3 linked regions of the Saccharomyces cerevisiae S288C genome follow. Changing the gene in region 1 together with any one later gene gives a genetic interaction. Each region holds a gene or a part of one and is shown in the gene's direction. Other genes may lie near its edges.

Region 1 (3,676 bases):
TGTTTGATAAAGCATAGTAATAAACCTCGGATGAGTTCCTTAGTTTGACTAAAAAATCTACAACTAACTCAAAATTTTCATCTGCATCCTCCTCTCTCCGAGATTCATCGTCTATATGATCCAGTGTTAAGATTGTCTCTATACCGGTGGGGGTCCCACCCGGAATTTCAAGAACTGTTGAGCATCCTAAGGATTGAAACAAGTTTGCTTTCCTATGGGAAAATACATGCATATAGATGCGTTTATGCCGCATCGAATATACAAAGGCCACCAGAAGAATATGGTCAGGCTTTTTAACCTTTTGTACAGTGATTCTGAGCGTAGTATCATCTGGATCCAGATCGTGTTTCCAAGATATTCTTCTCACTGGATCATTTGATTCTGATGCCCCTACGATGATTATTTCCCTTGAAGTGAGTAAAATACCATTTTTATCATCTATCCGCTTATAATCACGTATGTTTGACCATGCTTTCGCTTGTACTACTTCCGTTTGCCAATTGTTCATAAAGTCGATCTCAATCATTTTGGACCTATCAAAGACCAGTATTTTTTGGAAGTGTGAAAACCATTCTATTCTTTTCCATGACGATAATTCTTCTGGATCAAAAATCGTACCGTGGAGGTTATCTATTAACTGTAGTTTCCTTTTGTTATTATTATTGAAATTCTTTGGTATCCTCCCGATACTCCAGTTACCTTTTATATCAATGATTGCGAATTGTTGTAAGTCCCAAGGATTGAATGCAAAATCTACCACCTGAAGGTCGTCTATTTCAACAAAATACAGTGGTTCTGAACTACTAACCATGACATCACATGATCTTGAGTGGACACTTTCAATTCTAAAGATTTGGAAAGAATTTTCGGTGATTATGCCCACCAGGTTTGATCTCCGCCCGATGGACTCAGAGGCCCCCGGTATCTTAATACTCTTGATAGGTGAATGCAATTCGATACTCGTTACATTGTTATGTCGGTTTAAATGCAATGTATTTTGTCGTGTCAGAACTGCTATATTTAGGACTGAGCCTGTTTTACCCGAGGCATATGCTATGATTTCGGTTCCGTCTCTATAATTTCTTAAATCTGATGCTGTCTGAATATATTGAGAGTCCAGTCGATTAGCCACAGTAGGATCCCAAAAGAAGGCGTCTTGCATCGGCCTCGAAGAGTTAGTACTTTCTTGTAATGTATCATCTAAGTTGCGCAGCAAATCTGAAGGAATGTAATCTTGAAATGAAACTGGCGTATCGCAGTTCACACCAAACATAGAATCATTACCAACGTCAACTTTCTTAAAAAAATGGACATCTTTCGGTACCACGGGTATCACTGGATTGACCACTATAGATGTATCCCCCTGATTGTCCGTATCTTCATCAATATCGCTAGTTATGAGATCATCGTCGGCATCTGATTCTTGCAAAACCTTGTCGTCGGAAATATATCTTATGGCAGTATCACAAAGCAGACTTTTGACCACTATATGAAGGTCTAGTGCATCCTCGGCCAATGTATCATCTACTGGTCTTAGCCATTGTGGCTTTTCTTGCTTCTTCGTAGTGTAATTTTCTTGCGGACAGTAAAGACTGGCGCCTTGTACACCAACACCCAATTGCGAGCCTAACACATCTGAGCTTGGAATTTGTCCCTCACTCATGCTCAGCCCATAGAACGCCTTCTCTCTTTACTTCAACTTGCCACATCAATATCATTACCAAACTAATATGAAAGCTCATCTCGGTTTCTTAATCGAGAGAATAAAAATTATCGTATGCCCACAGGGTAACCCATATTTATATCAAATGGAAGAAGCGTCCATTAAGAAAAAAGCAAAAAAAGCTGTACCTGCTATTATGGAGAGGAGTAAGCGCTTTTCTCATTAACGTAAAAAGAGAGGTAAGAAAAAAAAGGAAGGGGACCTAGGCACCTCATAGTGAGAAGATTGAAAACGGCGTATCAAACAAATGGTTAAAATGAGAAGAATAACACCTACACGCCTCCTATTCACATGCAGATATATTTCAAACAATGCTTCTCCACCAGTGCAGCCCTTGAATGTGCTTTTCTTTGGTAGCGACACTTTCAGTAATTTCTCATTGCAAGCACTCAATGAGTTGCGTCAAAATAATGGAAGCTGTGGTATAGTGGACAATATTCAAGTAGTAACTAGGTCGCCGAAGTGGTGCGGTAGACAGAAGTCTATTTTGAAATACCCGCCGATCTTCGATATGGCAGAGAAGCTTCAATTGCCACGCCCAATTACATGCGACACCAAGCAGGAAATGTTGGCGCTAAGCAAACTGACACCCAGTCGCCAAGGAAATCCGGAGAACGACGGCTCCGGTGCTCCGTTCAACGCGATCATTGCGGTTTCTTTTGGGAAGCTCATTCCGGGTGACTTGATCCGCGCGGTGCCATTGGCGCTAAACGTCCATCCTTCGCTACTTCCCAGACATAAAGGCAGTGCACCTATCCAGCGAGCTCTGCTCGAGGGTGACACTTACACCGGTGTAACTATACAGACACTGCATCCGGATCGGTTTGACCATGGTGCAATTGTAGCGCAGACGGAGCCACTGGCGATCGCAACAATGCTGTCAAAAGGGAGAGTCAATGATTCGACGGCAGATTTTAATTCTGAGGGCCTGCCTCGGAGGACTGCCATACTGATGGACCAGTTGGGCGCCCTTGGCGCCCAACTTTTGGGCCAAACGCTTCGTGAGAGGTTATATCTACCACAGAACCGTGTGCAAGCGCCAACAGCTTACAAACCCAGTTACGCCCACCGTATAACAACAGAAGATAAACGCATTCATTGGGCGCGCGATTCTGCCGCCGAACTACTTAACAAACTCGAAACGCTCGGTCCTCTGCACGCGTTCAAAGAAGCGACAGCGGCAAGAAAGGACGCTCAAAATTCAGTATTAAAACGAATATTGTTTCATGAGTGTAAAGTGATGAGAGACGCACGTCTAGATAATGGCAGTAAACCGGGCATGTTCAAATATGATGATATTAAAGACTGTATTTTGGTCACCTGTCGCGGCAACTTACTACTATGTGTGAGCCGCCTCCAGTTCGAAGGTTTCGCCGTAGAACGTGCTGGCCAGTTCATGGCGCGCCTGCGGAAAAGATGCGGCGCCCTGAGTGAAAAGTTAGTTTTCCTGTAACCCGGCTCTACATTCCTCTTTTAGTATTCTTCTTCTCCCTTCTTTCAATCCCTCATCCATCGGTCTCTCAACAACTATGGCTGCCAAGCCCTACGCGCTATGAAGAAAAAGAAAAGTAGGCCCGCCTTCTTTCCCAGTTGCAGTTTATTTATGATTCGGAAAGATTGATGTTAGTAATGGCTTGTAGTTCATAACAGAGTGAATTAAGTGTAGGAAGCCCGGAATTAAATATATAGTAAAAAGAGCACAGGGGCGTTTACATCGGGGTAAAAAAAAATGCCTGCACCAAAACTCACGGAGAAATTTGCCTCTTCCAAGAGCACACAGAAAACTACGAATTACAGTTCCATCGAGGCCAAAAGCGTCAAGACGTCGGCTGATCAGGCATACATCTACCAAGAGCCTAGCGCTACCAAGAAGATACTTTACTCCATCGCCACATGGCTGTTGTACAACATCTTCCACTGCTTCTTTAGAGAAATCAGAGGCCGGGGCAGTTT
Region 2 (2,516 bases), on another chromosome or scaffold:
CTAAACCTCTCTTCTGATCCAATTACATATTTACCGATTTTCCAAGCTTTATAATATTGCTTTCTTTCCATAAACCAATCGAAATGATCCTTCAATGATAACTCTTGAACCCTGATGGCATCGTTGGAACTTATCAAATAGTATTCTGGTGTTGTTTTATCTATATGTTTACCGAGGTGATAATCATTTATAGACAATTTTTCATAGTTTTTCATGATAACTTCATCATTATAGATTTCATCACCATTAAAAAGATCAACAATTTTTAATTCTGGAGCATTCCCTTTGGCTAATAAGTTTTCTGGCCGCTTGCTAAAATTCTTCCCCTCCTTCATATCTTCATCTATGGTTGCTTCCTCTTCAATATCTATATCAAAACCTAGGCATAATAACTGATCATCCTTAAACGATGCAAGCCCTGTAATCAACATTGACACAGTAAAATGGCATTCTAATTCAACTTTCTTATCAGGTGTCCCTCTAAAACTCGATGCAGCACTAGACAAGAGAGATCCGATGTTTGTCGTAGGGTTAAAATGACTCATATTATTACTTTGAGAATTAGAGTCACCGGATTTGATCGAATTTGAATCCTTGGTAAAGGAAACTTTAAATAGCCAAATATTAGATCCCCATCCGATAACGACACGATCACTTTCTAAAAAATGAACATGGGGTCTAAATAGATCTGGCCTTACATCCTGTACGTTAAAAATTCTGGAGGGGAATGGAATATTCAAAAGCTGTGATCTTGTAGGAACATCGCAAAATGTTATTCCATCATCATCCATCCATAATATAAGGTCACCCATAGTATAAATTCCCATGATAGGGCCCTTCATATCAGAGGATAGGTCATCTTTTCTTGTTTTTTTCTTTTTCTTCTTGTTTAAAACGATGTCGATTCTATTTCCTAGCCAATTTCTCTGAGATAGTACAACGTCGCCAGCCATTCCACCAGAAACAAACATTCTGGATGCTTGAAAATTTGAGTGCAACGCTACAGAGTTTATAGGTCTTTTGAAATCGTATTGTGTAATGTTTTGTGGATCATCCATCGATCCGATAATCACTGTCCCGTCAATAGATCCCGTAGCAAAATATTTTCCGTCAGTGTTAATACAAAGTATCGAAGATCTATGGCATTTGATGGTTTTAATGGGTTCGAACGCGCATGTAGTTAAGTGTAGAATGCCTGAGTGTGTACCAAATGCAAAAAAAGTATCACCAAATAAACATGAAGAGATCGAGTCTCGTTGAAAAAAGTTCTTCGGGAGTTGACTAATTCGTGTGTACTTCAATAAGGGGGGCTCATCTTCGTCATCCTCATCTTCATCATCGTCATCATCATCATCATCATCATCATCACCTGTTTCTGCATCCGTCGCACTTCCTGTTATTGTACTCTCATCTGTTCGAGAAGCTACTCCATTTTCCGCTTGTGATATGCAACTAACACTTTTTGTTGGTGAAGTTACATTAACGTCTTCCCTCTTATTATCAACATTATTCTCGTCAGAGATGGAATTACTCTCATCAATTGTTCGTTCGCCTGATTGTTGATCCAAAACAGAATCATTCTGATGATTATCTGTAGTCATTAATGTCTAATAGTAGGTATATACTCTTCGTTAAAATGCTTTTTTATTTTGCATATATATTTTACAACAGTCTCAATAGCCCTTTTAATTTTTCTTTTGTATCGTATTATTGAAAAAAGACGAGCAAACTGCAGTAAGATAGAAGTGTACTCCCAATAGAGACAAAGCCAAGATACTTTTGTAAAAGAACGAAAAAATGGCTAGAGCAAGAAAGGGTGCACTGGTTCAATGTGATCCATCCATCAAGGCGCTCATATTACAAATTGACGCCAAGATGAGTGATATAGTACTAGAGGAGTTGGATGACACCCATCTTTTAGTAAATCCCTCGAAAGTCGAATTTGTTAAGCATGAGCTAAATAGGCTATTATCTAAGAATATATATAATCCTATGGATGAAGAAGAAAATCAGTAATTATTGCTCATTCAGCTTTTTCAATACTATTTGAATAGAGCATGACCTGCATAACCAGGTCAGACATGAATATAGAGGGGAAGTGATGATCTAGTGGAAATACGACTATACAGGTATGTACATGTTAGAATAATAAATATAAGGAAGAAAAAGTGGTCAGGTGCAAGTATACATCTTTAACCGTTTTCTTTTCTCATCCTTTTTTGAGAGCCAAATCCCGTTTAATTTTTTCTTTTTCCTCCTCAAGGTCTAAACCAAACTCCTCTTGTATCTTTTTCTCCAACCTAAGCCTTTTCTCTAAACGTTCTTTTTTCATCCTTGCCAGTTCAGCTTTAATCTCATAAGGCTCTTTTGGTATTTGGTTCAACGTTGCAGGATCTGGCCAAAACCCTGGAACATTTAATTTTTTATCAGTATCTGTACCAATATAGTACATTACAGCAACAGGTGCTAGCAAACAAAATGAAAATCTAAAGATCTCCAGTTGCGCCCTTGTATAT
Region 3 (2,679 bases), on another chromosome or scaffold:
TAAATAATGGCAGCTTGCCTGCGTCCGAAATACCCTTTGGGTATACTAAACATAGATATATAAAGTAATGAAGAAAAAATGAAAACTTTTCGTTGAGGGAAAGAGCTCAAGCTTTGGGATTATCAAATTAAATTTGTATATATAAATGTACATAAAGTCACAACAGGAAAATGATAATATACACATAATCTTCTGAGATGCAAAATGAATGGAAAATAATATGACATGTAAGAACCAACTAATACGTCATTAGGAAATGTTTTGCACATTCATAAGCTGTCCATGATATAGCAGTAGCCGGCATGTTTGCCACTATCCTTGGTTTCCAACCTCTCCAAAACCCTTTCCAGCCATAAACTTGATATATGGCACTGGCTGCTTTACTAAAAGTATCCGCCTTTCTCATAATTTCCAACGAAACTGTTTGACTGCCCCTTATCTGCAGTACTGTCTTTATGCAGTCTAAAGGTGTTGTGATCGCCGCACATGTCGATCCGCTGATACTGCCACACAGACAATGTATGAGGGGGTTGTACTCATTTGATGGGTTTAAAAATTTTGTGGATGATTCATATATGACGAAATTAAATGCTGCAAATGGGATGTTCATTACTAGGGTGGTTGGGTAAGAATAATAAAATGCTGCCAAACCTTCAGATTGGTAAATCTGCTTTGTGGTTTGCCATACTGATGCCGAGGTATTGAGTTGGATTCTCTGTTTTATTGTGTCGAATGGGTTCATTAATGCGTCAGATGCCGTGGTGGCACAGGCACCACTGATAGCTGTCTTAAAAGGATGGTGCGTTTGCGTATCACTCGAATCGATAAGATTTTTTTTGCAGAACTCATACGTACCAAAATACACTGCATGCGCAGGTCCCGCACCTAGTATGACAGACTGAACACCCTTCCATAGGGCTAGAGTTCCTTCGGAAGTAGAGATGTGAGATATTTGCGAAAGCATATTCTTGGCAGACAGCGATTTCGCGTTGGCTGATTGTATTCGCGTCTTAAGGGCATCTATCGGGAACATCACTGAATGTTCCATTATACCAGCAAATGCACCCGCTATAAGTTGATGGTACAATGGCGCGTGGGTGGGGAGCGCCTCATAATCGGGTAGATCCATAGGTATTGCTGGAATTGGCCTTGTTGAATTATTACTCGACGAGTTTTCTACCATAATATCTTCTTTTTTTATAACATAAATATATTTACAGCAAACCTTAAGAGGTGTTAACGAATATGGGAATCGTGATTAATTAAGTGAAGTTACGATCCCAAGATAAAATAAGGAAGTTGTTGAAAGAGGAAAGAATCGATGAAGAAATGAACGACAAAATTACTTTTGTCAATTGTAGGGTACGAAACACCAAGAAATGCAATAAGTGCTATGTAAAGGTGATCCAGTCTTGGTTAGCACACACGCCCAGTTTCTCGAGAGACATAATGACAGTAAACGGTGAGTATAAAAAAAAAGCAAAAAAAAAAGAAAAAAGGAGCAATCGTTCGTTACAAACGATCTAGACTTGATGAAAAAAAACCCTAAAATGTCTCAGACCTAAAACAAAACCCTAAGAAGCACGTGATACAAACCTGTCACGTGCAACATTATGGGGTATGGGTGTGTCACACATTTGAAAAAAAGTGGGCGGAACGTGTGTGGGGGGGTGTCATGCCATTTCCACATTTGGTTGCTCTGGAGATAAGATCCACGAATGAAGGTGAGGGGCATGACTTCAGGGATCAATTTCCCGCCCGCAAGTTAGTTTTTCCGGTGGGAGCCGAGCATCAAGCATGACCACTTCCTGGTGCAGAGAGAAAGTTTCACACATATAAAAGAATAAACCGAAAGTAATGTAGGGAGATGTTTAATGTGATTTTTCACCTTTGTTTTAATGATTACGCACAAGTTTAAATATTACATTCATAAGACAGTAAATAAACGTATTAAATGATCGCCCAAAGTACCAGATTAGCCGCCGCCGTCTCTTCTTCAGCCGCCTCCGCGGGTGTCTCAAGGATAGCCGCTAGCGCCATGGCCAGCACTATTTTCAAGAGATCTCCGGGCAACTCGTTCAACTCTTTTAAGGAATATAGAGAAAATGCCAAGACATATGGTCCCTTGAGTGCCTCACTAGCTACCAGAAGACACTTGGCTCACGCGCCAAAGTTGTAGGCGTATCTTAATTATGCTCTTTTCTTTCCTGGTTTATTAATGATGATGACTTTAACCTATTCTTCTTTTGGGGTCCTGGTACGGTGCCTCAAATTTTTATACAACATGACTTTTTCAGTTACATATTTTTTTATAAGTACTTAATTTAGAAACGGATACATTTACACTACATTTTGTCTATTTTTTTTTTTTTGTTCCTTTTGTTTTATGCTATATTTAAGAGGGAAAATAGGACGGGGCTGCACATTACAACGGTGAATGGAACGCCAGCATAGATAATAAATCTACCTAGAATGTCAATCTTGGGCTCTCCAATATATAATGGACATTCGTACTTGCTTGCACCTTCTTTGTGCGTGGCCTCCAGTCTTTTTCTTGCCGCAACGTTTCTGTCATCCTTCAGATGGAAAACTTTGATCAATAACGTGTAGATCATCGGTTTGCTGATCACGTACTTCCAGATAACAACGCACGGTAGGCCCACCAGCAGCCTGGCTAAG

The links. Genes that interact genetically often act in the same process or in processes that back each other up.
Region 2: mutations in FMT1 (region 1) and TFB5 together harm fitness more than expected from each alone (negative genetic interaction), as found in Saccharomyces cerevisiae (one large-scale study listed by BioGRID).
Region 3: mutations in FMT1 (region 1) and DPI8 together harm fitness more than expected from each alone (negative genetic interaction), as found in Saccharomyces cerevisiae (one large-scale study listed by BioGRID).

What each region holds. Positions count from the first base shown.
Region 1 is NC_001134.8:200,086-203,761, forward strand, and holds FMT1 (methionyl-tRNA formyltransferase), read left to right. Parts: upstream 1-1,970; coding exon 1,971-3,176; downstream 3,177-3,676. Other genes in the region: RRN6 (Rrn6p), read right to left, coding at 1-1,663; bifunctional glycerol-3-phosphate/glycerone-phosphate O-acyltransferase SCT1, read left to right, coding at 3,453-3,676. UniProt on the Saccharomyces cerevisiae protein: Formylates methionyl-tRNA in mitochondria and the cytoplasm. Responsible for the formylation of the 8 N-terminally formylated (Nt-formylated) mitochondrial matrix proteins that are encoded by mitochondrial DNA.
Region 2 is NC_001136.10:603,093-605,608, reverse strand, and holds TFB5 (TFIIH complex subunit TFB5), read left to right. Parts: upstream 1-1,797; coding exon 1,798-2,016; downstream 2,017-2,516. Other genes in the region: VPS41 (Vps41p), read right to left, coding at 1-1,601; PET100 (Pet100p), read right to left, coding at 2,210-2,516. UniProt on the Saccharomyces cerevisiae protein: Component of the general transcription and DNA repair factor IIH (TFIIH) core complex, which is involved in general and transcription-coupled nucleotide excision repair (NER) of damaged DNA and, when complexed to TFIIK, in RNA transcription by RNA polymerase II.
Region 3 is NC_001142.9:159,123-161,801, reverse strand, and holds DPI8 (Dpi8p), read left to right. Parts: upstream 1-1,954; coding exon 1,955-2,179; downstream 2,180-2,679. Other genes in the region: MRS3 (Fe(2+) transporter), read right to left, coding at 239-1,183; sphinganine kinase LCB3, read right to left, coding at 2,385-2,679.